Arabidopsis thaliana: one gene and its partners. The protein of the gene in region 1 interacts with the protein of each later gene in a pairwise test. Each region holds a gene or a part of one and is shown in the gene's direction. Other genes may lie near its edges.

Region 1 (7,825 bases):
AATATAAATCTCCCAGATCTCTCCACATGAAGAGAAATGTTCTGCCAACGCCGTGTAGAGATCATCAAGCGGAAGACCAGTGTCATATCCCGTAACCTTAATCCTCCCAACGTCACTGCAATAATAATAATACTATCAACGTGACATCTGAAAACATGCATCACCTTACACATACCAAATTCTCAATTTACCTCAGTTTTGGAATGTTATTCCGTTTCGCTCCCTAAAAAGTACAGGAGATCAAATCAGAAACACTTGCACTGCTAACTAACTTGCAAGTACTTTTCTTACAAACTTGTGAAGAAACCATCAATTGAGAAACAAAGATAAGAAACCAGAGTGAATCAGAAAAGCCATAAGAGTAGAGTACCATGGTGGATGAGAACATGGCTAAAATTTGTTCGACAAGAGCGAGACTCGATAACCCTTTTAACAGATTTAATTTAGGTCTGAAGAGGGCATTTATAGTTGTTTTTTTCTTTTTATTTTGGGCCTTGAATTAGTTAGCCCCATATGGTTCCTATTAAGTATCTTAGAGCATCTCCAACGGGAGAAAAATGGAGCTCTCATGACAGTCTCTCTAAATTATTGTGGAAAAAAATAAATCATAAAGGTTTAATACTGAGAGAATCGTTTCTCTTAAGAGAGATTTTGGAGCTGAAGAGAGACGCATACGTGTCGTTGTTTTTCAGTATTTCTTTTTTTTTTCCGTTTTTTTTCTCTACTATCATCTTTTCACTGGGACTTTGAGGATCATTGGACTTACCTGAAACGAGCTGGCCGACGTTGATTTCGGTAGGCTTATCGGCTCTGAGATTCATGGATTCCATACTTTGCAAGGTTTGTTCTTCTAATCTTATCGTTCGTCTTGATTCATAGAACTGTTTTTGTTTGTTCTTAAATTCGATTGTCTCTCGGTTTTCATTGTCCTATTGTTTTTCTTTTATTTTGTCTGTCTGGGTTTTGGACTTTTACTCTCGATTGCTCTTTGATTCTCGTAGCTATTGAACTAGAATTTGCAAAAGGTTGTGGAATTTGAGGTTCTAATTGTGATTTTAATGTGGTGATTTGGAAAAGAATTTAGGGACATTTTAGGTTGATTAAGGGATCTTGGCTTTGATTTGAGATACCCATCTAACGTGAAGAAGCTAGTGAAGTATATTTCAACCCCACCTGTGGTAAAGTCTAATCTTTGTGTTTCGATAGTTTCCTTTACGGTGTTTTGTATCTGACTAATATCACTTTTGATGGCTAATAGAGAGAGCTTCAGGGGATAATCCATTTGGGTGGGTATTTTTCTGGCTGTACCACTTGCAGTTTCTCAAAAGTGAGTGAAGGAACTCATTTTGGTTGATTATACTCTGAGTGAAGGAACTCATTTTCGTTGGTTCTGCTCTTCTAAGTGAAGAGGGCTTACAAGCTTGGAAAGGTGATGGCCATGTGTTTAGATTGTTGGTGCATCTATGTACTTTCCATAGATCTTCCTTTGCAATCATTTAGTGGTGAACCTGATATGTTGTTATTTCCTGCAGCAAGTTTCCAACAGAGTAATATCATGTCTGACCGGAACCATACAACGGAACATTCCACATATCGTTTTACATTTCTATTGACCTTGACCTTTATGTTTTAATTTGTCAAGAAGTCTACTGCATTTCTATTCTCTCCTATCTCATTCCTCTTTATTTACTTGCTTTCACATGGTAAGGAATTGTGAATATATGGTCTCAGCCTCTCATGTTAGACATTTCTTCTATGATTCTCATTTTTTCTATTGTGAATAATTTTTTTTCCAGACAACTCTTTTAAAAGAGACTTACCATTGGACTATGAAAAATCTTTCAAAAAAATCAGAAGCTCTCATCTTACAAATTCAAAAGATTTATACTTAAAAAATGGTGAGATCCCATTAGGAGGCTCTCACCATTGGAGATGGTCTTATGAGTTCCGTGAAGCTCTCTCGTTATTCTTACAGGGCATGATTTCGTATAATATTTTTAAAAAAACAAACGATTGGGCCTTGAATTTTTAATTAGAAAGTTAAACAAAATCTAAAAACCCACATGTGGTCTCTTGTTTTTTTTGGTGTGATGGTCGAATATTTCTAAAAACCCACAAGATTTATTAACTAGTCTTACAAATTACGATTACATTTTTTTTTTACGTTTTATCTCATTGACAGGGTATAATTTATACCGTATAAATATTATTTTCTTGTAGATCAGTCTTTTCAAAAAATGTAGTGGGATTACTGAATGCATTCCTCTATAATTAATTACGACAATTATCATAGTTGGTTTAGAAAAAAATAGTAAAATTGCACGTTTGCATGCCTATACAATTCGAGTGTACATGAAACTTGATGTAGAGTACCATACCCATGTCGCAAAATATTATTATTTATTGAAAAAATTACAAAGTCGCGATGCAACAACCTTTGTACTATATGATGAGAATATAATATAAAAATGGGCAACAAGAACAAAAGAAAATAGAGAAAAAAAGGAAAGGATAATCTTCCACCTAAACAAGTCCAAAGAAGATTGCAAGTTGCAACATCCACTTGCTTCGTCCGGCGTAAGCTCTTTGATAAGGTCTCTCACCGTCCTCCGACTTTCTCTCTCCATACATACACCACATTTACATACGCCATTTACACATATATGACAAACCCATCAACATCTGTGCATGCACGTGTGCTCATGCATGTATGTAGTTTTTACTTCGCCATGATGACCATGTCTATCTTAAAATTTACCACAATCAATCAATCATGCGCGTTACAGTCGTGTGATATTCAAAAATTGTACATGTTATTTCTCATAACTATCACTTTAGTAGATTAAGATCAGAATGTGCATATAATAAGTAAATTTTAACAATAACAGCAACATATTTTACTATAACTAATGATTTATTTAAAAAAAAAAGATAAAACTAATTCTGAAATTTCAGTTTTTTCTATGAACAATTTATTAACAGTATTCATATGTAGATAAACCTTGTAGATTCTATAATATAAAATTTATCAAGATGGAAATGAGGGATCTATAGAATACAATTAATTTTGGTGATATATATTCAAGATAATGAAGGAGGCGTCTGAGGAAAGAAATCATGGGGGCATAAGATGGTACAATGTATCATACATGGTCACACACATCTATATGATACAAATGCGTCTATATACACAACTGTTTCTATATACATACAAACACAAAGCCTTCACATCCCCAGCTATCTCTATCCATCTATCTTCAAATATATATTTTTAAAAACACACAATGTTCATATCTTATTGTTATTGTTATAAAATAAAAGATGATCATACTTTTTAAATTTCTCAAACAAAACCAACTTGACAACCGACAGCGAACAAGATCAAAAAGCTAGCTCTCTTCTTTTCTCATCAAACTTATTTCTCTCTCGATCGCAATATATACGATTCCATAAATTCTCCCAAAAACAAATTAAGAGATAGAGGAGAGATCATGAGGTCACCGGTGCAACTCCAACACGGCTCAGACGCCACTAACGGTTTCCACACGCTGCAGCCTCACGATCAGACCGATGGTCCGATCAAGAGAGTGTGTCTCACGCGCGGTATGCATGTCCCTGAACACGTTGCGATGCACCACACACACGACGTTGGTCCGGACCAGTGTTGCTCCTCGGTGGTGCAGATGATCCACGCGCCGCCTGAGTCCGTGTGGGCTCTTGTGCGGCGTTTCGATAATCCGAAGGTTTACAAGAACTTCATCAGACAGTGCCGTATCGTCCAAGGCGATGGACTACACGTCGGCGATCTCCGGGAGGTCATGGTGGTCTCTGGACTCCCGGCGGTCTCGAGCACCGAGAGGCTCGAGATCTTGGACGAGGAGCGTCACGTGATAAGCTTTAGTGTCGTTGGTGGGGACCACAGGCTCAAGAACTACCGATCGGTGACGACACTACACGCGTCGGACGACGAAGGTACCGTGGTGGTGGAGTCTTACATCGTTGATGTGCCGCCGGGAAACACGGAGGAGGAAACTCTAAGCTTCGTTGATACTATCGTCCGGTGCAACCTTCAGTCTCTGGCTCGAAGTACCAACCGGCAATAATCTCATCTTTCTTATATAAATTGCAATTATGTATCTAATTTTTTTTGTTGTTCTATTTCTTTTAGATGTTCGATCTTCTTTACAAGGAAGAAAATTTCGAGTACCTTTTCTTTCTTTTTAAATAGATATATCGGCTTAGAAAGAATTGTAATTTAATGGGGATTTCTTTGGGAGATTTATGTTGGAAATTTCGAAGTACTGTTGGGGGATTCACAAAACTTTGGATTTGGAGGGTGTTAGTACTGGTACATAAAACATTTTAAGGTGAATCTGTTAAATGAATTAATCCATTTGTTGTTTTGTACATGGTATCATTCTTTGTGACATTGTTTAATTTCTTGTACTCTTTTAAATGTTACTCTTAACCGTTTTTTTCTTTTGTGGTTTGTAAATGAATATTTGATGCATCGGTATTGTTAATGATAGACTTATTAATTTATTTCTTCATAGTATGTAACATTACTATAAGTTTGTTTTTTGTTGGTTGATCCTTGTGTCCAAATGTTCTAAATAGAAAATATAATACAAAGCCGATATTCTGATCTAAGAATCAATTAGAATGAAGCCAATAACTGTTCCACTGTCTATAATATTACCAGAGAGATAAAAGTTCAGAAATAAAAAAACTCCAATTCGTTTAACTTTAAGATTTATCGTCATCATGGATCATATTAAGGGAACATCAAATTACCTTTAAGTATTGAGTATATATATTCGAATTATCTGTCTATTACACATAATATTCTCGGGACGTAACAATTTATTAGAAGGTACTATATGTAGATGGAACTGCGTGTTAACTAAGAGGGAAATTATAAACCAGGTTATGGAATTTAAACCTGATTAGCATGTGCATTTACATAAAACATATATATTAGACCTAAAGCAAAAGTAGACGTGCTTAAACTATTACCAACTAGTCTTTCATTGGCTACTAGTCTGGTCAAGTGGAGATTATCATTTTTTATTCCCGTTTGTTTTGTTAATAAATTATAACCAACCAACCTAGTGGGTTATATTTAATTCAAATATAAGTTTTTGGTCTACTGTTTTTTTTTTTTTTTTTTTTGTTCTGGTGGGTTTATTATAATTCGTTCGATTCAAAATTTGTATTTAAGAAAGTCTAAAAGGACATGCAATTAAAATTTAGCTGGAAACGCGTTGCAACTTGCTAGTTTTTTCTGCCCCTAGTGGGATATGATACAACGAACCCTTATGCCGGTCTTAAAGAGTTAATATTTCTTTTTATCCAATTTCCTTTTAATAATAATACAAACAAGGACAATAACAAATTATCAAAATCTTGTCAAAAGAGTATTATATATCATCAAGCACACTACTATATTATTGATTAAATGTTGATTAGTGTTATTAAAATTATCTTACTATATAATATTGGATGTAAAGAAAAACAAATGTATAACCAATATCAAAACTCAAAAGATAACAATTTTTATTTTTTTTTGGTACGAATCAAAAGATAAGTATTAAATATCATAGTATTTATTGCTACAAAATTCTTTATATTTATAATCTATTGTATCACTTTATTTTGTGTTTGGTAAAACATCCTCTTTTTCTTTCTTTTCGAACAAATAAATTGAGATAAACATATTTGTACTATTCTATCACTATCATCGTGTCACCACCATATTCAAATCCATATATACACAAATGATTAAAATTTTAAAAGTAATTTTTGTTTATAATACACAAAAATGAAGATACGTAAACTATCGTACCACATCTTACAAAATTATTCGTGACATTTTATCCTTTGTTGTCCCAAATTAGTGCTGAGATACTTCAAATGTCTGATTAAGAACGGTAATAATATTTATAAGTGGCGAGGCCCAAGAATTAGCTCAAAACAAATGGGCCGAAATTATACATTTCTTTCATATTAGTAAAGCTTTTCTGGGAGAAATCCGGGCATCAATTGGTTACCGGTTCAGTATTTAAGCCTGGGTTGTGAATTCCAACATAATACCGAACCGAATTGATCAAAACGCTGCGTTTTGTTTTCAGTCATTGCAAGGTTACTGCAAGGTTAAAGCGGGAAGTGAGCAACGAGAGGCAGCGGCGGCCGTCATGGATTCATCGGCGAACATAAACAAAGCTCTAACGGAGACGCGTTTCTCCGACCTCGAACCTCCACTCTCCGGAGATATCATTGAGGCTCTTAATCAGTCTGATTTCGAGTTCTGCACTCCGGTTCAAGCCGCGACGATCCCTTTACTCTGTAGTTACAAGGATGTTGCCGTCGACGCTGCCACTGGTTCTGGAAAAACCCTAGCTTTCGTCGTTCCCCTCGTAGAAATCCTCCGTCGATCCACCTCATTCCCTCCGAAGCCTCACCAGGTAAGATAATTGCCAACTAATCTGGAAATTAGGATTTTTGTTTCGATTGTGAGCTTATCTTTGAAATTAAATTACAGGTCATGGGGGTGATTATATCGCCAACGAGAGAGCTATCAACGCAGATATATAATGTCGCACAACCATTTGTTTCGACTTTGGCAAATGTGAACTCTGTGTTGCTTGTTGGAGGCCGAGAGGTGAAAGCTGACATGAAGATTATTGAAGAAGAAGGATGCAATGTCTTGATTGGTACACCTGGAAGACTTTCTGATATTATGGAACGAATGGAGATTCTGGATTTTCGAAATCTTGAGGTACTTTTCTTCAATCAAGGATTTGTTTTAAGATAGATGTTGTTGAATCTATAGCTTGGTGTGGTTATGTTGTCTAAACAACTTAAAAGTTTAGTTTTTTTACTTAAACTGAATCGTTTTGCGTATGTAGATTCTTATTCTAGATGAGGCAGATAGGCTTTTGGAGATGGGGTTCCAAAGGCAGGTGAATTACATTATCTCACGCTTGCCAAAGCAGAGGAGGACTGGCCTCTTTTCAGCTACACAAACAGAGGGCGTTGAAGAGCTCGCCAAGGCTGGGCTTAGGAACCCTGTGAGAGTTGAAGTTCGAGCTAAGTCGAAGTCGGAATCATCCCAGCAATTGACAAACTCGAAAACCCCTTCTGGTCTTCATCTTGAGGTAGCATAAGTTCAATATATAATTATGTAATAATATGTTTCAGAGTAGTTAGTTTTCCTGTTGTATCCTTCGTTATCATTTAGCATTACTGTGACCTGATTTACGAAGGATTTCCTTCTAATTTGTAAGTATCCAGTAGTTATACGATTCTCTTCGTAGCTCTATTGTATTCCCTTCTCTTGGTAGCAAGTTTGTTGTATTGAAAATACCTATTGATCATATGTGTTGCATATGTATATACTTCTTTTTAGTAGAAACCGATGTTCTATCTTTACATGTCCTACCGATGCGTTTCTTAGCGGTTTATTTCTCCTTGTCTCTACAGTATATGGAATGCGAAGCAGATAAAAAATCATCACAACTAGTTGATCTCCTCATCAAGAACAGTGATAAAAAGCTTATAGTGTAAGTTTAAATATTCCACACAGACTTATATAAAATGAAGCATCCTTATAAATAGTCTAAGTAACGCTGCAGATTCTTCATGACCTGTGCTTCTGTTGACTACTGGGGACTCGTACTTTCAAAAATTCCTGCCCTGAAGTCCATATCTTTAATTCCTATCCATGGGGATATGAAGCAGGTAAATTACTATGATAGATTTTAATTTTCCTTATCACCTCATTACCTATTGCTATTTAAAGGTTTTGATGAAATATACTTAACAC
Region 2 (7,679 bases), on another chromosome or scaffold:
ATCCTTTGTTGAAAGCTTCTGGTTCAGGGAGCATCGTGCTCATCTCCTCCGTATCTGGAGTTGTACATGTCAATGGTGCATCCATATATGGAGTATCTAAAGGTAAATCTATACGTATGTATATTCAAACGATTAATGATGCATCACGTTCTGATTTTTACGAAATGTAAGTGTATTTTAGGAGCTATGAATCAGCTAGGAAGAAACTTAGCGTGCGAGTGGGCAAGTGACAACATAAGGACTAACTCTGTGTGTCCATGGTTCATAGAAACTCCTTTAGTTACCGAAGTAAGTAAGGCAACAAATATGAAAGTTCTAAGCTATATACATTGTTACTTCTCAATTTTAATTTTAATTAAGTAAAATTGAAAATCTCTCAGAGTCTTAGTAATGAGGAGTTTAGAAAAGAAGTGGAGAGTAGACCACCAATGGGACGTGTTGGAGAAGTAAATGAAGTATCATCGCTTGTGGCATTTCTTTGTCTTCCTGCAGCTTCTTATATTACAGGTCAAACCATTTGTGTTGATGGAGGTTTCACTGTTAATGGTTTCTCTTTCAAGCCTCTGCCTTAAGACGTCGATTGTTTTCATTTTACGTTATTTTTTTAACATTTACAATTTGTTTAGATATGTAAACATAAACACAATTACACAAACAAACAAAAAAAATTGGCGTTTGGAATGTAATCCAACTCTCCACAATATATGCATGCTTTGTGTTTTAACCGATCAAGTATACTAATTTTTTTTTAATTATAGTATAATTTGTTACTACGAAGCCACCAACGTTCTTACATTCTCAAGACATTGATAAGTTATAACCTGCGGTCCTAAATCACCCACCAAAGGGGAGAGATGAATTGATAAATTAAGACGAGATGTGTTGAATGTTGATAGAGCTAGCTGCCTATCTCTCCATACATGCCTTCTAAGGCTTCCTCACAAACCATAAGTAATTTGGTCGTTTTGACGCTAGATGTTTGTTTGTTGTCCCATATATCAAAGTCAGGTGCTCACATTTTTATTTGTTGTATCTCAATATGAAAATGATTGTATAGAAAATGAAGAAACGAAGGCTAAGTGTGCCTTTTTTATTATTTAAATAGTTTGTATATGACTTCAAAATATATCCAAACACAGATACTTTGGAATTTATAATGACAGTTGACATCTAAAAAAACCTGTAAATTGGAAGGTTTAAGCATATGTCTAATTATTATTTATCCTTTTCGTTTTTTATATTGTACATTCATTTTTTACCACTCTCAAATATGAACTTTGTATTTAGTTCTAATAAAATTATGAAGTTTTAAATACTCAACCGACTGGACTGGTACAACCAACCATCCAATAATGATGTCGAATCCGATATTTTGTCCCCATTTACAACACACTTGCATGGTTACGTGTGATATTATAATATGTATAAACGGTCTATAATTTTTCCTATACCGAGTTACAAATAAGAATCTCCATGAATAGATATCTGCTCTGTGGCTGATAACCAAAAATGGCAAAGAGAGGGGAAAGCTTGAGAGACAAACCTAAATGGAGTCTTGAAGGCATGACTGCTCTTGTTACCGGTGGATCTAAAGGCCTCGGGTCAGTCCCAATTTTTCTACCTTAATTACTTACTTCCCTATAATTTCAGTACCGAAACTGAGCTCTGATTTCAATCATGTATAGACTTTCGTTTTATTTGTTAATACGGCTCAATCATAGACTTATGTGGATCTTTTGATAGTATTTCTATGTTTAATCAAATCAACCCCTGAAAAGATCAAAGGCTTAATGATATGTATAAATTCATATTGATGTATAAATAGAAAAGCTGTGGTGGAGGAACTAGCCATGTTGGGAGCAAGAGTTCACACATGTGCCAGAGACGAAACTCAGCTTCAAGAAAGCTTACGTGAATGGCAAGCAAAAGGGTTACAAGTCACCACTTCTGTTTGCGATGTTTCTTCTCGTGACCAGCGAGAGAAACTCATGGAAACTGTTTCCTCTCTCTTCCAAGGAAAACTCAGCATCCTCGTAAGTGTGTGTGTGTATATATATAAGCTTCTCCTCCTCCTCGTCTATGAGCTTGGATCGACAATGACCAAAATCATGTTGAATTTTGTTTGCTTCGTTTGTATAGGTACCCAATGTGGGAATAGGTGTACTAAAGCCGACGACTGAGTGTACAGCAGAAGAGTTCTCATTTATAATAGCTACAAATCTGGAGTCAACTTTCCATTTCTCGCAACTCGCGCATCCTTTATTGAAAGCCTCTGGTTCAGGGAACATTGTGCTCATGTCTTCCGTGGCTGGAGTTGTAAATTTGGGTAATACATCAATCTATGGAGCAACCAAAGGTATAATTATACGCATACTCGAACAATTTATGATTCTTTGCTTCTATCGCGACTTAAATAAATGTATACGCATTCTAGGAGCCATGAATCAGCTGGCGAGAAATTTAGCATGCGAGTGGGCGAGTGATAATATAAGGGCTAATTCTGTTTGTCCATGGTTCATTACAACTCCGTCAACTAAAGATGTAAGACAATGAATAAGAAAATACATTTCATTTATAGTATGAAAAAATGGTTTAACTATTTCTTACGAAGTTTATGTGAAAATGTTTCAGTTCCTCGGTGATAAAGATGTAAAAGAAAAGGTGGAGAGTGTGACACCATTGAGACGTGTTGGAGAGGCAAATGAAGTATCATCGCTTGTTGCATTTCTATGTCTTCCCGCAGCTTCTTATATAACAGGTCAAACCATTTGCGTTGATGGAGGTTTCACTATTAACGGCTTCTCTTTGCCTTAAACACGTATATATGCATATATTCATGCTTAAATTTATGTGATTAATTAGTGGTTTCACTGCATATTAATTCATACAAGTTTTATATGTAACTTATGTTGAGGGAGCTCACTCCGTTCATGCCTTCTAATGTTTGGACGAAGAACTCAATCTTTTATCTTATCGGATAAGAAGTTACTTGTGTTCACATTTGATGTTTGTTCGTTTCCAATCGTATTGTGACTTTTGATATATAAAATAATTATTGTATATATTCTACTTATGATATATGATTATATAGTCATGTAATGATGACCGTACGATTTTCAACTCTAGTATCCCTATCTTTAGGGGGTTATGGCTAAAAGCCTAAAAAGATTACTTTTGCTAAAGGAGTAAAGATTATGTTCATAATTTTTTTTAATTTATATAAATTTATTATTATTATTCTCACGCATAACACAAAACAAAGAAAGAATTATCTTCATAATTATATATATATATATATATATATTTGATATAAATTTATTATTATTATTATTCTCACGCATAGCACAAAACAAGTTTCTTCTATATATCAACTAAACTAAAAGACATGTCGTTGGAAACATACTCATATATCATATTCAAGGACTCATAATAATAGACATGTAAACAAAATATTCCTTAAATTTTCTAAATTCAAAAACAAACTATATATGTAACTTGTTATTTAATCTTCTTGGGTATATAAAACTTTATCGCATTTCTTGGATATTTGGACGATGAGAATTCAAATTGCTTTGTCGATGATAAATTTGTTTAATAATTGTTCAGACTGCCATCACAACATAGCTGATTACTGTCATATAAGTCATACATATTATATTTCCGATGATTCTCTGGACTCTCAAGACAATAATAATAAAAATTCAGATATAAGTTTATTAAGGTTTTCTTTGTTAACGTGTTTACTGTCTAGGGACAAACATAAATTATTAGCACTAAACTTGTTAGGTTTTGAAAGTAAACACTGATTTATACCTAAACTTAGGTTATTCATGTAATCAAATGTGAAAACTAACGTAATGAAATTCCTCTAGTTATTTAAATACAGAAAACAAAACCTACCTTGCGGGGAAAAGCATCGTGGCGCGAAAGGAAACTTCCTATGATCCGTCATCCGTGCCGTCTCAATTTGATTGGACCACGAATCTCGCACTCGATACTGACGCCTTACGTGGATTACTTTTTTTATAGAAAGAATTTAAAATTGTTTCTGAAGAGGCAGGTTTTGTGTATAAAATAGAGAATGCAAGTAACGTGTAATGACATTATTTCTCAAATTGAATGGTTTTCGAGCATTTTTATTAACCAGTGAAGCAACCAAAACAGGAATCACCAGTTCTTGAAAGAGTTCATCAAAAAAGAAAACATTTCTTGAAACATCTAAGAAAGAGTTTTGTTCTTCTTGATCAGAAATACAGAGCAAAATCCATTTGAAGACATCAAAGTTTAAGGTTTTTTTCCCCGGATATGGCCGAGATATGTTACGAAGTAGTGACCGACGCATGTCCGTCGTCGGTTTATGAATCAACGCCGGCACATTCACGGCGGAGGCCGAGATTCCAAACGGTGATGCATGAAGATTGGGAGAAGAATTGTAAGCGTAGTAAACAGGAGGCTTTAGCTACGAGATACTCTTCAATTCCTCGAAGCTCTCGGGAGGATTTCTCTGACCAAAATGTCGACGTATCCAGTCCAAGATACGGTGTTTCTTCGGTGTGCGGTAGAAGAAGAGAGATGGAAGATGCGGTGGCAATTCATCCTTCATTTTCTTCTCCGAAGAATTCGGAATTTCCTCAACACTACTTTGGTGTGTATGACGGCCATGGTTGTTCCCACGTACGACTCCGTTACCATGCATTCTTACGTTTTCCGAAATTCTATGTTTTCAGTTTTAGCTGATACGAAATCTTTTTTTTTTCCTTAGGTTGCAGCAAGGTGTAGAGAGAGGCTTCACAAGCTGGTGCAAGAAGAACTAAGTTCAGATATGGAAGATGAAGAAGAATGGAAAACGACGATGGAGCGTAGCTTCACACGCATGGATAAGGAAGTTGTATCGTGGGGTGATTCCGTCGTGACTGCAAATTGCAAGTGTGATCTACAAACACCGGCTTGTGATTCCGTCGGATCAACCGCTGTTGTCTCAGTCATTACGCCAGATAAGATCGTTGTCGCCAATTGTGGCGATTCCAGAGCAGTTCTCTGCCGCAATGGGAAACCAGTCCCTTTATCAACCGATCACAAGGTCAGTTCCGTTCAAAACATGTTCAGTTTCATTTAAGCAATGATTGGATTTGTGGATTAACTTGGAGATTGTGTTCTTTGTAATGAAACACAGCCTGATCGGCCAGACGAATTGGATCGAATCGAAGGAGCTGGTGGACGAGTCATATATTGGGACTGTCCAAGAGTTCTCGGAGTCTTAGCAATGTCACGAGCAATAGGAGACAACTATTTGAAACCTTACGTGAGTTGCGAGCCGGAGGTAACCATAACGGACAGGAGAGACGATGACTGCCTCATACTAGCTAGTGATGGTTTATGGGATGTTGTGTCAAACGAGACCGCCTGCTCTGTAGCGCGTATGTGTCTCCGTGGTGGTGGGAGAAGACAAGATAATGAGGATCCGGCGATTTCGGACAAGGCTTGTACGGAAGCGTCAGTATTGCTAACAAAGCTGGCGTTGGCAAGGAACAGTAGTGACAACGTCAGTGTCGTTGTGATTGATCTCAGAAGATAAGGACACGTAAGTGGACACTAGTCGAAGAGGAAGACAATTTTGCTTTAACTTTCTATATCAGTTTTGCTTTTTGGTTATTCTTGGAATACGTTGGTTGTATACAAAATTAACCCGATTTTATGGAAACCCCGAAAAAGGGTTAATTAATAGAAATGATAAGAATTATTCTTGTCAACCCTAATCCTGTTTCGTGTATGCTTATAATCTTAAATCAAATCAAATTAAGAAGGTCGACATGTAAAAGCATTTTGCTTTAAAAAAGATTGTCAGACTATACTATACCTTTTACTTTTAGGCATTAAGATACTTTAAGAGGTACTTAGTCTCTGCCGCTAGGCAAAGACATGAGAGTAGATCATAGGTTCTAAATGCAATTATGAGTATTAGCAGTATCTAAAGAATAAGAAAAACAGTAAGCAGTAGTAACAACAAGTCCAATAGAAACGAGGTCACGTATAAATTTCAACATCGAATCGACTTCAGACTAGCAGCTTTGATTGTACAACCCAAATTGTAGCAAATAATGATGTTCTTATGACTAAAGTTGAGGAAATGGTAGAGACAAAACAAAAGAAAGAAGGTTTTTTGAGAACAAGACCTCTCTCGGGAATCGAATTTCACGTTTGTTTGTTGTCAGGTTTCTTTTAGGGCCTTAAGTTTTCTGTAACCTTTATCGGTGCCAAAGATCCTGAAGTAACATAGATAAACATATTTACATGTTTATTATAGTTATGACTTCTGTTAAAGTAAGAAACAGAGTTCAATAATTTACCAGTCCATGTAAACAAACGTTGATGAGTAGTTGCCAGACTTTGTGTAGAGTAATCGATGATGGTAGTCATGGAAGTCAGCACTGTAAGCAAATGATTCCCACATTAATATTAAAGATCTGTTAGGTTTAAGGTGTTGCTCTTTCAAGGCAATCACAGGTTAGAAGTCTTATCTTACCCGCCGTATAGAGGAAGAAAATTCGAGGGGCTCCATGGGAAATGATAACCACAATGTGCCTCAACTGTCTCAATAACTCTGAGCATCATCCATAACCAAAGGGTGATCAGGTGAGGCCCGGTGAGAGCCGGACCAACAATGGTAGCAAAACCAAGGAACAGAATTTCAGCGGGATGAGCATATTCTGATGTCAAACCAAACGGTGTCGCGTACCTGTATATAAGTAATACCATAAGATTGTTTATTGAGGACCATGAGTGAACTAACATTGTCAAGCACAAAAAAGATGGTGAGTACTGATAGCTTACTCATGATGCACACTGTGCACGTTCTTGTAGAGCCATTTAGTATGCAAGATCCTGTGACCCCAATAGAATACAAAATCCTCAATGATGAAGTAGAATAAGATCTGGGCAGACACCACTTTCCTGCAAGAGCGTCACCAGATATAGTTTCATAAACCAGATCAAACATAATGCAGGTTCTTCTCATGCAGCTCAACACTGACATTTTATATATATTGCCCATTGGAAGAGTTTAACATCAGAACCCAAAGGCAAAAAAAGCTTTCAGCACTAAAGAACCTGATAATACCAGGACGGCAGAGGAAAACTGCTTTCCATGCCCATGAATCTGAATACAGGATACGACGCCATCATGAGGGGCAAGTTTACGCAGCAATGGTAAAGTAATAGTCGAGCAATGCATTTTCCCTGGGCTTCAGGAGTATTACTTTTGGTCTGCAAAAGACCAAACAAGAGTACTTGATAAATCTAGAAGACAAGCTAAACCAGTTATCACTTTGACATTACCATTGGGGAAATGAGAACACTGACAACTTGGTGATATCTTTCCATTCAGTTTATATTTGAACAGACACACAAAGCTATTAGTTAGAAGACCACTGAATCATGAGAAGAAAAGACAAACCTGAATTTTGTAGTTGCTCAGAAAACCAGTCCTTTCTAGGAAAATGTAAGGGAGTCCAGACAAGAAAAACACGCTTTCATGAAGTATAAAACTCCCAATACACGCCAGTTGAAAGTCACTGAAATGCGTAACAAGGTACTGCATCATCGCCACAAAGAAGGGTCAGTGTCACAGCTAGAACTGTCAAACTAAAGAGCTAAACATGATTGCCAAAGGGAGATAAAAT
Region 3 (9,327 bases), on another chromosome or scaffold:
TGCAACTTAGAACCTCGATCTAGTGAGGAGACACATATGTTAATTAGTATGGAGAGGACATGCAATACATTAGGATAATGTCGGATTATATTATTACCTCTTGGTTAAACTGCTTCAGGCCTTGTGAGACATCTGACTTCAAGAGTTTGATGGCAACAGAAGTGTTTTCAAGAACGGCTTTATACACAGGTCCATACCCTCCTTCCCCAATCTTTAGAGCATCTGAAAAACCGTCGGTAGCACCTTCAACATCTCTGATGCTATATCGTCTGTAGGAAATACTATCGGCCATATTCTGTTCCTTGAACCTGGCTTGCATCTCCACAAGTCGTCTCTTCTGGGTCTCTATTTCCGCTAGACGTTGTGCCACTTCAGTTGCTTGGATCGCAGTCTGTGTTTTTTGCTTGTCCATCTCAGACAATGCCCTAAGCATCTCTCTTGCTGCCTTTGCTTCCTCCAGCCTTTCAGTTTCGGCGGTAGCTCTAGGTCCTAGAAGATGAGGGGCCTACAAGCATTCATTCAATGTCTGATATTAGTCACTCATCTTTGGGACCTGTTCAAGGAAACATTCTCGGTTGTGCTCATGGAAGTAAGTATCTTACACTTTCTCTGGACATGGAAGCATTAAACTGCTGCAATTCGAATCTCAATCTTCTCACTTCTGCTTCAAGATTTTGATTCTGATCATAGTCATGCACAAAGAACACAAACATCTCAGAATCATGCATCTGACACTCAGCATAACCGAAACACTATATCTACTTTTCTGAAACATTAATTTTACCTGGTGTTCAGTGATATTGCCCCCAGATAAGCTTTCCTCTCCATCAGTTATCTCAGACTACAGATTCGAAAAAAAAATGTCAACGCCAGGCAAATAGGTGGTAAGAATATCGATTTGAAACGTGATGGGAATACTAACCATGGAAGAGTGTGAGCTTCCTCCATATGTGGATCGTCCTAGGATGCTGTAGAAGCTAGCATTTGATTCAGCACTGTGATCGCTGGGAAATTCATTACTAAGCTCTGACATAGAACTCCTATACAAAGATGGCTTGTAATGAGGTGTAGGTGGAGATAATTCTCCGTTCAATGCAGGAGATGACCTGCAAGATTGGCAAACCCAATGACTACTATGAAGCAAAAAAGGCATTCATTCACAAGACAACCGGATAAAATTTGAGTTCATTAATTACCTTCCGGATTCACTGGAAGTGGAACTTGTTGGGCCAGGATCAGACATCATTGAGGGATGTTTTGAAGGATGAGGAGGGTGTTGAGGAGCTTGAGGTGTCTGAGGACCTTGAGGCGTGTGAGGACCTTGAGGTGTCTGAGGCCGACTCGCTGATCTGCTTGTTAAGAGCTTCCCTTTAGACACAATGAAGACAGCACATGTATCTGGTGTTGTTTTAAGCAGAGTCGTTGGCACATCTACGCTCTTAAACTTCCTGATTAAGACCATAAATCACAGAGAGTTATAGGATTTAGCATTCAGATTAAGATTACAGTTTAGGTTATATGAGAGAAAGAAAGAGACTTGAGGAAAGAATTTCGAGCAGAGGCTCCAATGACTATATTTGAAATGGAATTGTTGGTGATGTAGTCAACAATTGCACTCGAGATGTCAATATCGTGAAGAAGAACCTCCGTTGCTATAATCTGAGAGAAAATATATAATTAATGAGGTCGGTGAGAGCTATGTGTATATATATATATATATGTGATTGTTGTAAGGAGAAAGAGAGGTTGATATCTGACCCCTTTCCGAGCACAGAATCCTCTAAAGGGAAGGAAGAACTGATGCGCCTCTTCTTGGTTGTCATGTGGTGCTTCTGTGTTTTCTCCTGCCCCAAATCCTGTTTCAAGAGTTTTCATTAGATTGATGGATTGATAACAATGATGATGATGATGATGATGCCATTACGTACTCAGTTTGGTTTGAACATGGAGAAGGATACAGTTTGGAGAATCGATGATGATATTCTCAACAGCCCATTTCAAAGCGTGTTGGCTGTTCTTATCTTTATCAATGGCTATGGCGGTAACTGCTTTGCTGTCTTTTCCTTTGAGTCTTCTTGCAGCCATTGTTTCTCAGCCCTCGAGATGATTGCTGGAAACTTTTGCTTCTGGAGAAACTAGAAAGACATTGTGGTACGGTCTTTCAATTACCCTCAGAAGGAGGAAATAAGGAGACCGAATGATAATGAAAATGATAACAAGGAATTAAGAAGAGAAGAGGAGAGGAGAGCTGTTTTGTTTGTTGAGAAAATTTAAACTTATAATGGTTTTGGCACTTTGCTAAAATTAGAAGGTTTTTCTTTTCTCCAACAATCTAAACAGTCATAACGAACAGAGAGGCAGACAAAAAGAGGATTTTTTTAATTTTAGTTGACGACTTATCTTTAAAGGATATTCCATATCATATCTTGTAGACAAAAAGAGGATTTTTTATTTTTAGATTTGTGTAATGGCATCTTATATTGATATATATGTAAACTAGATAAATTTGGAATTATAGGCAGTCTTGATCTTTTAGAAGAAAGAAGAAGACCATGAGGAAATCCAAAGGTTGAAATTAGTTTTATAATTGTTTCGACGAACGTGTTAAATATCTTGGGGTAACCTGTTTGGTTTTGAAAGGGCAAAAGGGTTTGAGTTTGAAGGACTTTGTCTTTTGTGTGTGATTCATGTCGCTGATGAGGAGGACCTTTGATATTTCAAAGAAACCATATGGAGTATATAATATATAGCTAATAATGATTTTCGTATAACAAACAGCCGTGTACAAGCGAGTGTGGAATTTAATAATAGTTGTGGACGCTACAATGGAAGTGGAATAGAGGATCATGGGCGAGTTCTTGCTACGTCCATTATCCTGAATGATGATGCGGTTCCCACAACACAAGTCCTTATTACTACAAGTCATCATGATAATGTAGCAAAGAGGAAGGAGGTGGAGTGTCTATGAGCTAGAGTGTATACCTCTTTGGGGCACTGTGTCAATCTGCGGTGAAATGGAGGATGCTGTTAGAGCTTTATCTCATTTTTCAAACTACCTATCAGAATGCTTATGTGTGATCATGAAGGGATAATAAGTCCAACGCTCACATGTCTCACTAGTCACTTCTTCGGAATTTATGATGGCCACAGAAGAAGCAGACCTGTTTCTGGTTCTGTTTCTTCTGATGATAGGATGGTTCTTCAGGCTGTTTCCCCTGAGACCGTCGGATCAACTGCTGTTGTTGCTTTGGTTTGCTCATCACATATCATAGTTTCCAACTGTGGTGGTTCAAGAGTGGTTTTACTCCGCGGCAAAGAATCCATGCCTTTATCAGTTGATCAGAAAGTATAAAAGCTGAGACAGAGCTAATGAAGTTTCTTACCTTAATGTAAACAAGTGGACGCTAGAGCCCATATAAGTGACGCTGACTGGGCCTTAATGTAGGCCCATTTCAAACTTTGGTCTCCGAGAAAAGTCTTTCGTTGTCTATTTTTTAACCACGTTATGATAACACTACATGTGTCATGAGATGCATGAACATATGTCATGAACATACTTTCAATCTTGGATCAAAAAACTAAATTAGAAGAATAAACAGAAGACTTGACCTTTAAGAGGGAAGGACACGCGTCATCTATGTTGCCATTATTGAATAGATTAATAAATTAGTTTTATAATTGATTGGAGCAACGTGTTAATAATGAAGGTCGTTGTCACATAAAGAAACTTGGGATTCCGTGGAGTGCTTATAATTTTTCTAATTTTATTTTTTGGGTAAAAACCTCATTAGATCCAGGAGAACCCATGTTTCGTTTCGTTTTGGAAAGATAAGAGAGATAAAGGTTTCGACTTTTTTAGGTTTTTCTGTGTGTTTTGTGATTCATTTCGCTGATTGATATCAATTCTCTCTGTTTGTTGTCCCTTCTCTTCAATTTCACCTGACTTTTGTTTTTGTTTTGGATAAAGTTTTCACCTTTGTGTCTTCTCTCTGCTCTCTTGTGTGATCTATCTGAAAAAGGCTGATTTTTTTTTTGTGGGTTTCTAAATTAGGGTTTGTGTGAGTTTATTGTCTTTCTGATTCGATGAAGATCAAGAGTTATAGAGGATCGTTAGAGTGATCAAAATCCCACGAATTCACAAAGGATCCGTCTTCATAGATCCGTCAGATCTGTTCAGCGGAGGTACATACTTCTTCGTCATTCACTGCTTTCTGGATTAGTTGGTGAGAATAAACGGCTGGTGGGTCTCGGTGGGAAGCTGAATTGGATGTAGAGTTCATCAGACTATAGCTTAGAGAAGAAAATGAAGTTTTTTGAATCGTTTTGCTCCAGTTGAGGTTTGGAAGCTGCATACCAGCTCATGGAAGAGATTTCACCTGCAGTTGCACTTACTTTGGGTTTAGCTAATACGATGTGTGACTCTGGAATCTCATCTACTTTCGATATCTCCGAGCTGGAGAATGTTACTGATGCAGCTGACATGTTGTGTAATCAGAAAAGACAAAGATATAGTAATGGAGTGGTGGATTGTATTATGGGAAGTGTTTCAGAAGAGAAGACTTTATCTGAAGTGAGAAGTTTGTCTTCTGATTTTAGTGTAACTGTCCAGGAATCAGAAGAAGATGAGCCATTAGTATCTGATGCGACTATTATTAGCGAAGGTTTAATAGTTGTGGACGCTAGGTCTGAGATAAGTTTGCCAGATACAGTTGAAACTGATAACGGGCGAGTTCTTGCTACGGCCATTATCCTAAACGAGACAACCATAGAACAGGTTCCCACTGCAGAAGTCCTTATTGCGAGTCTGAATCACGATGTGAATATGGAGGTGGCAACTTCTGAGGTAGTCATTAGGTTACCTGAAGAAAATCCTAATGTAGCAAGAGGAAGCAGGAGTGTTTATGAACTAGAGTGTATACCTCTTTGGGGCACGATTTCAATTTGCGGTGGAAGATCTGAAATGGAGGATGCTGTTAGAGCTTTACCTCATTTTCTCAAAATACCCATCAAAATGCTTATGGGGGATCATGAAGGGATGAGTCCAAGTCTCCCATATCTCACTAGTCACTTCTTTGGTGTATATGATGGCCACGGAGGCGCTCAGGTATGCTGTAGTTCGTAAATCCTTATACTGATTTTAGCAGTAGAAAGTTAATTCAACTATGAACCCGGAAGATACATGAGTTTATGTTTTGTTGACGTAGGTTGTATGTATATATGATAAAGGGTTTGCTGGAAACGGGATTCTTTGCAGGTTGTTATGTAATATATGACGGCTTTGGTGGAAATCGGATTCTTGCAGGTTGCTGACTATTGCCATGATAGAATCCACTCTGCTTTGGCTGAAGAAATCGAACGGATTAAAGAGGAATTGTGTAGGAGGAACACTGGCGAGGGTAGGCAGGTCCAGTGGGAGAAAGTCTTTGTAGATTGTTACCTAAAAGTCGATGATGAGGTTAAAGGGAAAATCAACAGACCTGTTGTTGGTTCTTCTGATAGGATGGTTCTTGAAGCTGTTTCCCCTGAAACCGTTGGATCGACTGCTGTGGTTGCTTTGGTTTGTTCATCGCATATAATAGTCTCAAACTGTGGTGACTCAAGAGCAGTTTTACTCCGAGGCAAAGACTCCATGCCTTTATCAGTTGATCACAAAGTAAAAAATCTTCTCTTTCCCTCTAAAATAATTTAACACAATCTGAGAAAGTTTCTTATTTCTAATTCATGAAATTTCTTACCCTTTCTCTGCAGCCAGATAGAGAGGATGAGTATGCACGAATAGAGAAAGCTGGAGGAAAAGTTATACAATGGCAAGGCGCTCGTGTTTCTGGCGTTCTTGCCATGTCCAGGTCCATCGGTAGGTCAAACTTGCACTTATGTCTTCCATCTTGCCTAGTGACAGAAATATGAAGAGAGTTTTATAGGTCAAAATTATCGATAAATTAAACATTCAGTAACCTTATTTAGAGATGAGGATCATTACTACCTGTTACAGTCTCTGCAAAATCATGAGATCTCCTGAAAGTGGGTTTCAATCTGCATCGTTTTCAGGTGATCAATATCTGGAGCCATTTGTAATACCAGATCCCGAAGTGACGTTTATGCCACGAGCTAGAGAAGACGAGTGTCTAATATTGGCCAGTGATGGACTTTGGGACGTAATGAGTAACCAAGAAGCTTGCGATTTTGCGAGGAGGCGGATCTTGGCTTGGCACAAGAAGAATGGAGCATTGCCTTTAGCTGAGAGAGGTGTAGGAGAAGACCAAGCGTGTCAAGCTGCGGCTGAATATCTCTCCAAACTCGCTATTCAAATGGGAAGCAAAGACAATATCTCAATCATAGTGATCGACTTGAAAGCTCAAAGAAAGTTCAAGACCAGATCTTGAAACAGTGTATGCTCGAGCTCTTACACTATTATAATTTTATTATTTCTTATTTATTGAAAAAATTTCCACAAGTTTACATAAAAATAAGAAGTGAAATGTTGGGGGGAAGAAGAATTAAGACCTTGATGCATAGCTGAAGTCCATTCCTTTTTCTCATGGACTTGAATGTGTATGTTTGTTATGTATAAGAAGAATAGAGAAGAAATGTTTTTACTTTGGAGTCTTGTAGGTGGATATGTTGTTGTAATATTGGAGATGTGGCTTAAGGAATTGTAACTGAAATTTATGTCACATTCACCTTAATACTTTTCTGTAATCTATTATATATAAATACTTGTTGTGAAAGAGTTATTATTGTCTTTTCTATTGTTATTGTTATACAACAGGTAATATTGATTCCAAAGTGTTTAATGAGGGATGCTGTATCAAACATGAAAACTAAGTGAAGGGTTTGGAGAAGGATGGTTGTTTAAAGCTATTTCCCCTGCTTTTTTTACTAAGAGAGTAGAGTTTAACAATTAAAAGAAACCTAAATAAGAGATCATAATTGGTACGTTAAGGTTTCATAATTCATTAGAATTAACAAAAATAATGAGTTGGATAGTTGAAGAATCAACAGAAACCCAAGTGATGAATGGATCAAAGAGAGTCACATAAAGGAGATCATAACTGATGTTTTAGTGTGGTGTATTGTCTCAAACAATGTGCTGAGCCAAAGAAAGGATCTTGAGCTGTTTCCTGAGGCGCATCTCGTGCGGGACAGGACCAAACACTCGGGTACCAGTCGGTTGGTTGTACTCCATTTTCCTCTTGGAACCATGTGAATTATTCTGCCCTTTCTTTTCCTTAATGCCAACAACTACAATGGCATTGTCATCAAACTTGACTTGGCTTCCATCAGCACGTCCTTTAGGCATCGCAGCACGCACAACCACACCGTACACGACCATCCCTTTCTTCACTTTACCTTTTGGGATAGCGTCTTTCTTTACTTTTTTTTGAACAATTGGGTTAGCTTCTTTCACTGAACCAACAATGATATCGCCAAGTCTTGCTCCTTTCTTACCTCTCAGGGATTGAATGCACATCACCTCTTTAGCACACGAGTTATCCACGCATTTGAGAATCGTCCCCATTTGAATGAATGTCCTATGTTGTTGCTGTGAATTGGAAATCATCAGGACACACAATTCACAGGTTATACCCCACGAATGCATATGAAGAAAGTTTCATCAAGGACGTATATTTGCGAAAAGAGGCTTGACCTGAGAGAGGATGCTTCCATTCATCATTCCATTGGAGGAGGAATTCATCAAACCAGAGAAAGCATTGCAAAGACCTCCAAGCAATGAACGTCCTACTCATATTGTCGATGAATCATATAACGACATCACCAACAATTAGTGACATTCACAACAAGAACAAAAAAGTTTTAATCTTGAGTCTGCATTTCATGAACCAAAGCAAAGTCCATGACATATCACAAACCCAAAAACTCAAAGCTCATTTCGAAACTTATACTAAATCAATGTTGCAAAAAATCTAATTTTTAAAGAACCAAACTTTATCGAATATAATAATATTAAGAGATGAAAATGTACCTTTGGAGAGCTTGGAAGCTAAAGCTGTCGCCATTTCTGCAATTCAAAAGTTTCGATCTTTAGTGTCGCAGAGAGTGAATGAATCTTGCGATTGCACAAAGACACCAGATTTAGGGTTTAACGTCACACACTCGCTGTCGCAGCGATCATTTGGGCTTGTAATGATTTTACTCATGGATTAAATTATATAGTAAAAAAGTGGTGACGTTGTCAAAAGTAGGCGTGCCGGAGTGGTTATCGGGCATGACTAGAAATCATGTGGGCTTTGCCCGCGCAGGTTCGAATCCTGCCGCCTACGTTTTTCCTTTTTTTTCGTATTTACCTTATTTTCCTACATTTTAAAACCAGGGGCCATAACATTTTTTCCACATGTACTATAACATTTGTTTATCACAAAATCTGAAATTCTTAATTAACAAAAATAAACAATGGTGATGCCCTAATAACAAACATTTCTTTCTTCTTTTTTTTTGCTACGAACTTTTTACTTTTGTTGATTGTTCATGCATTTACAAAGACAAAATCCAAAGTTTCTTAATGTTATGAAAAATTCCTAAATCAAGAAGTTAAACGGCTGAGAAGAGGTTGATCAAGTGGAACAATTCACCGATGCCGTCCATTTTGAAGCTAGCACTGGGACCCACTAGTAATCTGTATCAGACAAGAGACAAAATAAAACCCCCCAAATGGCTTCTCCAAGCGGAGCTCCAACGAAACGCCTTTTTTTTTGAAACTCTCCACCGCGATAAGAGAGAGAGATTACCAAATTCTCACCGGAGAAGAAAAAAGGGCTTTCCTTTCCTGAGATTTCCGGTGAAAAGTCATTGACTTTATCACTCTCAAGTCTCTCCACAAGTTGATTGATTCTGCTCTAATCTCCTCATCTGGGGTCTTTCCCCTCTTGCTATTCAAATGGTAAATTCAAATATATCTCTATACCATTTTATGTTTCTAAGAGATATCTCGGTCTCTTTGCTCAACTGTTTATTTGAAAACTGAAAACCTTGCTTGTTTGTTTCGTTAATGTTGTTGTTGCGTTTGCTTGCTTTACCCCTTTTTGTTTCCTGTATGGAGACGCTAATTCTTGATCTATGGTTGTTTTTACTTCTGAAAGGTTTTGGTTTGACTATGTCTAGCTCAGTTCTAGAAGCTTGCTCTTTGCCTGAATTAAAATCTCGTTTATATAATTTTGCCTAAAGCTGTAAAATAGATGTTATGTGCCCCTTGAACCTGTAAACTCTTTTAGAGGCAATGTATGTTTTTGATGTTGTTAAATGAAATGCAATGGTTGCAGGCTGCTCCAGTCATAATTGTGGGTTCACATGTGTGGGTTGAAGATCCAC
Region 4 (7,460 bases), about 19 Mb from region 1:
ATAAACAAATAACGCAGTGTGATGTTTACACTTTCTGATAACGTTGTAAATTAAATAATAGAAGCTTGAGGAGCGAGGCCGATATACCAACAGACAGATCAGTGTTCTTTTGATAGCTATTTGATACAAAAAATAGAGTTTATTGTACTAACTAAAAGAATTGGTATATTTTTAATCTTTTATATTCCGCCTTTTTTTCATTAACAAGATATATAACATAAAAAAAATAGATATGTATATAACATAACTATTGGCTGTTTTTGTTTACTCAATTGGGCATAGTGGTATATCTTAGCATGTAAGCATTGTAAATAGCTAAGGAAACAAAAGTGAAAAAGAAAACACTTTCTTGACCACTAAACTCTACGCGTTCTAAAAAAAAACACTTGCGGAAACAAGACAAAGTGAACACTTTTCAGTATTTTCTTGATAATCATCATTATTCCCGCCTAATTTGCTTCTGCTTTTCTTTTTAGTGTAAAAGAAAAGAGAAACAAGCTTTTGTCTTAGGTGCACTACTTTTATAAACTTTAGACTTTAGCGTATTTATTTAACACAAGATAGGCTAATGACTTGACAATTACAAGAGTCATAAATCTTTTGCACCCAAAAAAAGAAGAAAAATGCACCAACCCTTTCCCGGAGATTCTTCACCACCAAACTGCCTTCACGGCTGCTTCTCATCGTCACCATTTCACGGTACCACCAGCTCCGAACACCCACCACATTCAACCCCCACCGTCACTTCCGCTACTCTCCGCCGTAATTTCGCCCAAACCACCGTCTCCACCATCTTCCCGGACACCGAATTCACCGACCCAAATTCTCTTCCTTCTCATCAAGAATCTTTCTCCGATTTCATCCAAGCTTACCCCAACTACTCCGACACTTACAAGATCGACCGTCTTAGATCCGACCACTACTTTCACTTGGGTTTATCACATTACACATGTCTTGATTACATAGGAATTGGTTTGTACTCTTACTCTCAGTTGCTCAACTACGACCCTTCCACTTACCAGATCTCTTCTTCCTTGTCTGAAAGTCCCTTCTTCAGTGTTTCTCCCAAGATTGGTAACCTTAAGGAAAAGCTTCTCAACGATGGAGGTCAAGAAACAGAGTTTGAGTACTCAATGAAAAGAAGAATAATGGGGTTTCTCAAAATCTCCGAGGAAGACTACTCAATGGTCTTCACCGCTAATAGAACTTCTGCTTTCAGGCTCGTCGCCGAGTCTTACCCGTTTAACTCAAAACGGAAGCTCTTGACGGTTTACGACTACGAGAGTGAGGCGGTGAGTGAAATAAACAGAGTCTCTGAGAAACGTGGAGCCAAAGTAGCTGCAGCTGAATTCTCATGGCCAAGACTCAAACTCTGTTCGTCCAAGCTGAGAAAACTGGTTACTGCTGGGAAAAACGGAAGCAAGACGAAGAAGAAAGGTATTTACGTCTTTCCGCTTCATTCTAGGGTTACAGGATCTAGGTATCCGTATCTATGGATGAGTGTGGCACAAGAAAATGGGTGGCATGTAATGATCGATGCATGCGGTTTGGGACCTAAGGATATGGATAGTTTCGGGCTTTCTATATATAACCCCGATTTCATGGTGTGTTCGTTCTACAAGGTGTTTGGAGAAAACCCTTCCGGATTTGGTTGCTTGTTTGTCAAGAAATCCACCATATCGATTCTTGAATCTTCCACTGGTCCAGGTATGATTAACCTCGTACCTACCGACAATCCGATTTCATTACACGCGTTGGAAATCAACCGAACACAAACAGATTCGGAAGAAACATATAGCTTTAGCTCTAGTGTCGAATACAAAGGCCTAGATCATGTAGATTCACTAGGGTTGGTAGCAACAGGGAACAGATCAAGATGCTTGATAAATTGGTTGGTAAGTGCTCTCTACAAACTCAAACATTCAACAACTAGTCGTCTAGTTAAAATCTACGGTCCGAAAGTTAATTTCAATCGAGGACCAGCGGTTGCGTTCAATCTATTCAACCATAAAGGCGAAAAAATCGAACCTTTTATCGTGCAGAAGTTAGCCGAATGCAGCAACATCTCACTCGGTAAAAGTTTCTTGAAGAACATCTTGTTCCAAGAAGACTACGAAGGCGTGAAAGATAGAGTTTTTGAGAAGAAAAGAAACAGAGACGTCGACGAACCAAGGATCTCTGTTCTCACTGCTGCGTTAGGGTTTCTTGCTAATTTCGAAGATGTTTATAAACTTTGGATATTCGTTGCTCGGTTTTTGGATTCAGAGTTTGTTGATAAAGAGAGTGTGAGATGTGGAGTTCATGTTTTTGAACATAAGAACCGTGAAGTAGTCTAGTTAACATATAGCCTAGTTTTGGCTCGGTTTGCTTTGGTTCACTTCTTACATCAGAACCGGTTCAAGTATCAATGAAAATTTTGATTTTTGTTCAGTACAAAGTCAGCGTCAACATTAGCGTCCAAGTAGCACCTCTATCTCCCACTAATTTTGATTTTGCTACTGATTCAAAAAAAAATAATTAACTTTCGAAAAAAGGTAGCTCATATATATTTATTTACAATTCGCTCATTCCTAGATGTCAAGTAGATATGAACGGGGCAAATGAATGCCCAATAACTAAAATAAACCCATATCAGCTATATATTTCTTCGGTTGTTAAAAATTTTGATTTTATAAAATTTATTGCACAAATGATTTTCTAGATGTTATTTTTATTTTTATTTTTAGTATGATAAATACTAAATTTCAAAATGCAATGATTGAAAATAATTAAACTTTTAATTTTATTAGCTCATAATTAAACTTAAAAATATTTAATATAAAAAATGTTAATGATTAGATAATGTTTTTTTTTTAATATGTGAAAAAATCCCAAACATCAATCTATTATAAAAATATGGAATAATACTTTTATTTAATCTATTTTTTTAGTAGTCAACATCAAAAGATTATTACAAATGACCAATGTTGATAATTTTAACTTATAAATATAGTATTAAATAATGAATAGTGAATTGTTTTCTTTTTGGCGGGTGAAACCTTATTTCCAAGCTTCATACTCTAGTCTTCGAGAGTCATGCTTAGTAATTGACATTTTTTGTTGCCATCATTTCTTATAAAGCTTACCCTAAGCTTGCAAGAATATTTACCGAGTAGTTTGGAATCTTGGTGTTGTAAATCATGCACTATTTGTTTTACTACGCAGTTCCAATCTTCTCGTGGGGACCAAAGTTTTTCAACCTTGTATACAACAAAATCAACAAGGGATTAGGTACACCAAATTGGTTTTTACGAAAACAGTAACATGCTATCAAAATAGAGACTAGTCGTTTTGGTGATAGAATTCAGACCAAGACAATAATGGTTTTACTTGTCAATAATACTCAGAAATGAACATAAGCTGCACTTGTCAATAGTACTCAGTTTTGAGATAGCTAAGTTTTGTATTGCCCTAGTTATGGCTCGGTTTTGTCCAATTCGGTTGGTTTGGTTCACTTCTTAAATGGAAACCGGTTCAACTGTACAACTATCAATAAAAAAAAAAAAATTAGCTCCACAACATGACTCTTGTGATGTGGTCGAGGCCAAGGCCCATTAGTTAGCTAAAACAGGCCCATATGAAGTATGTGATCTAGACCGTTGATTTGTAATGGGACTATATAAAAATAAAAACGATGATCTTGAGGGCCCCTTCTTCCATCTTTGTAGGGTTCTTCGTGCAGAGGATAAGGTTAGCTGTGGTTTTTTAATTTTATTTTTCTACCTTTGTAGGGTTTCCTCACTTTTTTTTATCCACTGTTCTTTAGTTTTCAATCTGTCAAATTCAAACAGATAACATTTTTCGTCAAAAGAATCAGTAAAAACTAAACATTTTGACTATATCCTACTTGAATCAATTCTTCGGCTGATTTTGAAGTTTTGTGACATTCAGATATTCTAGGGTTTTGTGGTAAATGGAATCGAATCACGAAGGCAACGCGATACAAGTGATTGACCAAGTAACAACCATGACCCATCTGTCTGACCCGAATCCGAAAACCAAACCGGGTATGATGCTCATGAAACAAGAAGACGGGTATTTGCAGCCGGTGAAGACTAAACCGGCTCCGAAGAGACCGACTTCTAAAGACCGTCACACGAAAGTAGAAGGACGAGGTCGGAGGATCCGAATGCCGGCGGGTTGCGCTGCTCGGGTCTTTCAATTGACCCGTGAACTTGGTCACAAATCCGACGGAGAAACGATACGGTGGTTATTGGAACGAGCTGAACCGGCGATAATTGAAGCAACCGGAACCGGAACTGTACCGGCTATTGCTGTATCGGTTAACGGAACTTTAAAAATCCCGACGAGCTCTCCAGTGTTGAATGACGGCGGCCGTGACGGTGACGGTGACCTAATAAAGAAACGGAGGAAGAGAAACTGTACGAGCGATTTCGTAGACGTTAATGACAGCTGTCATAGCTCCGTTACTTCTGGGTTAGCTCCGATAACGGCGTCAAACTACGGCGTTAATATCCTGAACGTTAATACACAGGGGTTTGTGCCGTTTTGGCCTATGGGTATGGGTACTGCGTTTGTTACTGGTGGGCCGGATCAAATGGGCCAAATGTGGGCTATTCCTACCGTTGCTACAGCTCCGTTTCTGAATGTTGGTGCTAGACCGGTGTCTAGTTATGTCTCAAACGCTTCAGACGCTGAGGCGGAGATGGAAACGAGCGGTGGCGGAACGACGCAACCGCTGAGGGATTTTTCGTTGGAGATTTATGATAAGAGAGAGCTTCAGTTTTTGGGTGGCTCAGGGAACTCATCTCCGTCTTCATGTCATGAGACTTAAGGAATTTTAACTCTTAGTTCTAGTTTCTTTTTAGTTTTTAGTAAGTTTGATTCCTGATTTAGGTTAAGTAAGATTTGTAAAAGAATTGGGAGCACAATTTCAATTTTATGTTTCTGTCAAACATTTTGGTAATTAATGGAACTATCCTATCATTTTTAAAAAATAAATCAAAATGAGATTAAAAATGAGTCTGCTAAAACGCCAGAGGTTGAGTCTGCTAAAGCTCTCGACACAATAGTAGAAGGAATAATGTATAGGCACGTTAAACCTAGATTCTCGTGGAAGCTACAAAGCTGGATCGGAGTTGGGATGGAGAAGAAGATGATAGAAGCTGGTGCCATTTTTGATCGAGTGTGTGGGAAATACATATCAGCCAGGAGAGAAGAGGTAAAAAGATCACAAGTGAATAATAATGATCATTTCATTAGAGATAGTCATGCAAATCTTTTGACATCTCACATAAAGCTTGATACAACCCAGTACCAGCTCTTGGATCCTATCAATGATAAATTCTTAAGAGACAATGTCTTTGCTTTACTTCTAGCTGGGAGAGATACCACTGCCTCTGCTCTCACTTGGTTCTTTTGGTTTTTGTCCGAAAACCCTCTAGTGGTGACCAAGATTCGCCAAGAGATTGACATGAATCTACCAAGAAGTTGTAGTGGCCAAGAGAGACCATCTTGTGATCCAATGGAGTACTTAAACAAAGATGTACTTAAACAAGATTTTGGTCTTTATTTATGGGGTGGTGGGTAGGATGAGAGCTGTATGGGGAGAAGATGCATTAGAATTCAAGCCAGAGAGATGGATTTCCGAGACCGGAGAGTTAGCATTCAATGCCGGTCGAGAATATGCCATGGTAAACAAAGAGCTATGGTTCAAATGAAGATTGTGGCGGTGGAGATATTACAAAACTATGACATCAAGGTTGCCAACGGGCAGAAGTTTGAGCCAGATACTAGTTTAATTCTTAAAATGAAGCATGGCTTTAAGGTTAAGATTAACAAGAGATGTTCATCTTGATATTAGTGAAATAATCAAGTTCTTTTTTAAGTTCTATTTCGAAACCATAGCCTAATTAAGAGTATTAATAAGGAGACAAGTTTAAGTGTGATCTACCTTGAGGTTTAGTTTTTATTGTAGACAAATTATAGTAATGGTTTTTTAATGATTTCAATGACAGTTTAGAAGAATGTAACTCTCGATCCAAGAATGATAATTCATGAGTTAGTAAACTGATGAAATCAAAAAAGAAATGTTGTTTCAATTATTATACTGTACCATTTTTATTTCTACGAATTACGAAACCATTTCTTCTCTACCGAAACTAAAGTAAACTAAACCGTAACAAAAAATTTTGTTTCTTTGTTTTCAACCGTATCCAAATTATGTATCCAGTTTTTTTTGTTTTTTTTTTTTTTTTTTTTCTCATTGTTGACAAAATAAGTAATTTTCTAATTTAAAATTTTCTTCAAAAAAATTTATTATAATATCCGTAACTACAATGCAAATAGTGCCGTACACGTGAGAAGCAAAACAAAAAAGATGCAGAAAAAAAAATAGTACCACAAAATCCTTCACCAACCGTACTGCGAAGCCAAGGCAATTGAAACCAAACACTGATAGGCATAACTCAACAGTAGTTACCCTTTTTTGACCATCTTCTCGTTTAATTCTCTTCTTTATTCATTTTCAATCTTACTCTATCCACACACACACGAACACATCAAAATGCCACCATTTTACATCTGATTTTTAGTCTTCATTACTCATATTTAAGCTTAAGTTAATAACCACAACAACCACCTTTTCATGTGGTTTATTTGGCACCATCCGTATTCTAAACCGTTCGTGTTCTTTCCTTATTTGGCACCATCAAGATTCTATTTACAATATTTTTTTTCAAGTGGCAAAACAAAAACAAATTACAATTTTTATAAATTAATTGAGTTAAAGAAAATTACTTCCAGGTTCCATTAATGTATCTAAAAATATTTAAGTAAAATTTTAATTACAATAACATCCATTTATTTTATATAAAAATTTTAAAAAACGTTTTAATAGATTCTTTTAATAGTTACCAAAAACAGATTCTGTCCAGCTCTTCTGCACCAAAGTACATGCTTAGACTCAAAGTACGATTTTAGGGAGAAAAGAATTTGAATACTGGAATAGATACATGTTTGTTCCAAATAATTTGAGTAACTTTAAAGCATATGTTATACACATACACATTTTCTAGAATATTAGCCTCTCATTTCTCTCCTTATATAAGCCAAATAGTCCCCGCTTCTTCTCATTCATCAAATCCTCAAACAACTTCAAGAACAAAGAGTGCTTTTCGAGGCCCAAAACACATTACCATAAAATGGCATTCTCGAAGGGACTCATTTTTGCGATGATATTTGCGGTTTTAGCGATAGTTAAGCCCTCAGAAGCTGCTCTTGATGCTCATTACTATGATCAATCGTGCCCTGCTGCTGAAAAAATCATACTTGAAACTGTTAGGAATGCTACTTTGTATGATCCCAAAGTGCCTGCTCGTCTCCTAAGAATGTTCTTCCACGATTGCTTCATCAGGGTATGCATCTTGATCTTCTTTATTTGATAGTTGATTGTTGATCCA

What was found.
Region 2: the proteins of PYL5 (region 1) and HAI3 interact in binary tests that used the Arabidopsis thaliana proteins (3 or more experiments, as listed by UniProt).
Region 3: the proteins of PYL5 (region 1) and HAB2 interact in binary tests that used the Arabidopsis thaliana proteins (3 or more experiments, as listed by UniProt).
Region 4: the proteins of PYL5 (region 1) and AT5G51910 interact in binary tests that used the Arabidopsis thaliana proteins (3 or more experiments, as listed by UniProt).

Annotation. Positions count from the first base shown.
Region 1 is NC_003076.8:1,605,883-1,613,707, forward strand, and holds PYL5 (Polyketide cyclase/dehydrase and lipid transport superfamily protein), read left to right. Parts: upstream 1-3,105; 5' UTR 3,106-3,491; coding exon 3,492-4,103; 3' UTR 4,104-4,645; downstream 4,646-7,825. Other genes in the region: AT5G05430 (RNA-binding protein), read right to left, coding at 1-115, 192-223, 371-388; AT5G05450 (P-loop containing nucleoside triphosphate hydrolases superfamily protein), read left to right, coding at 6,195-6,464, 6,542-6,778, 6,909-7,157, 7,483-7,562, 7,635-7,740. UniProt on the Arabidopsis thaliana protein: Receptor for abscisic acid (ABA) required for ABA-mediated responses such as stomatal closure and germination inhibition.
Region 2 is NC_003071.7:12,604,550-12,612,228, forward strand, and holds HAI3 (highly ABA-induced PP2C protein 3), read left to right. Parts: upstream 1-4,125; 5' UTR 4,126-4,305; coding exon 4,306-4,674; intron 4,675-4,762; coding exon 4,763-5,080; intron 5,081-5,173; coding exon 5,174-5,575; 3' UTR 5,576-5,801; downstream 5,802-7,679. Other genes in the region: AT2G29360 (NAD(P)-binding Rossmann-fold superfamily protein), read left to right, coding at 1-102, 182-288, 381-572; AT2G29370 (NAD(P)-binding Rossmann-fold superfamily protein), read left to right, coding at 1,510-1,601, 1,826-2,033, 2,140-2,356, 2,435-2,541, 2,632-2,814; SMO2-2 (sterol 4-alpha-methyl-oxidase 2-2), read right to left, coding at 6,209-6,263, 6,348-6,464, 6,524-6,736, 6,832-6,951, 7,118-7,263, 7,454-7,591.
Region 3 is NC_003070.9:6,030,557-6,039,883, forward strand, and holds HAB2 (homology to ABI2), read left to right. Parts: upstream 1-3,713; 5' UTR 3,714-4,360; coding exon 4,361-5,104; intron 5,105-5,302; coding exon 5,303-5,653; intron 5,654-5,748; coding exon 5,749-5,854; intron 5,855-6,048; coding exon 6,049-6,383; 3' UTR 6,384-6,842; downstream 6,843-9,327. Other genes in the region: AT1G17540 (kinase with adenine nucleotide alpha hydrolases-like domain-containing protein), read right to left, coding at 1-19, 98-505, 603-680, 785-841, 923-1,106, 1,197-1,448, 1,538-1,659, 1,759-1,856 and 1 more; AT1G17545 (Protein phosphatase 2C family protein), read left to right, coding at 2,553-2,568, 2,751-2,953, 3,032-3,352; HLL (Ribosomal protein L14p/L23e family protein), read right to left, coding at 7,079-7,543, 7,649-7,740, 7,985-8,018; MYA1 (myosin 1), read left to right, coding at 8,897-8,899, 9,279-9,327. UniProt on the Arabidopsis thaliana protein: Key component and repressor of the abscisic acid (ABA) signaling pathway that regulates numerous ABA responses, such as stomatal closure, seed germination and inhibition of vegetative growth.
Region 4 is NC_003076.8:21,092,078-21,099,537, reverse strand, and holds AT5G51910 (TCP family transcription factor), read left to right. Parts: upstream 1-3,646; 5' UTR 3,647-3,729; intron 3,730-3,835; exon of another isoform or gene 3,836-3,930; 5' UTR 3,931-3,952; coding exon 3,953-4,834; 3' UTR 4,835-4,972; downstream 4,973-7,460. Other genes in the region: AT5G51920 (Pyridoxal phosphate (PLP)-dependent transferases superfamily protein), read left to right, coding at 624-2,336; AT5G51900 (Cytochrome P450 family protein), read left to right, coding at 5,084-5,545, 5,591-5,857; AT5G51890 (Peroxidase superfamily protein), read left to right, coding at 7,203-7,415.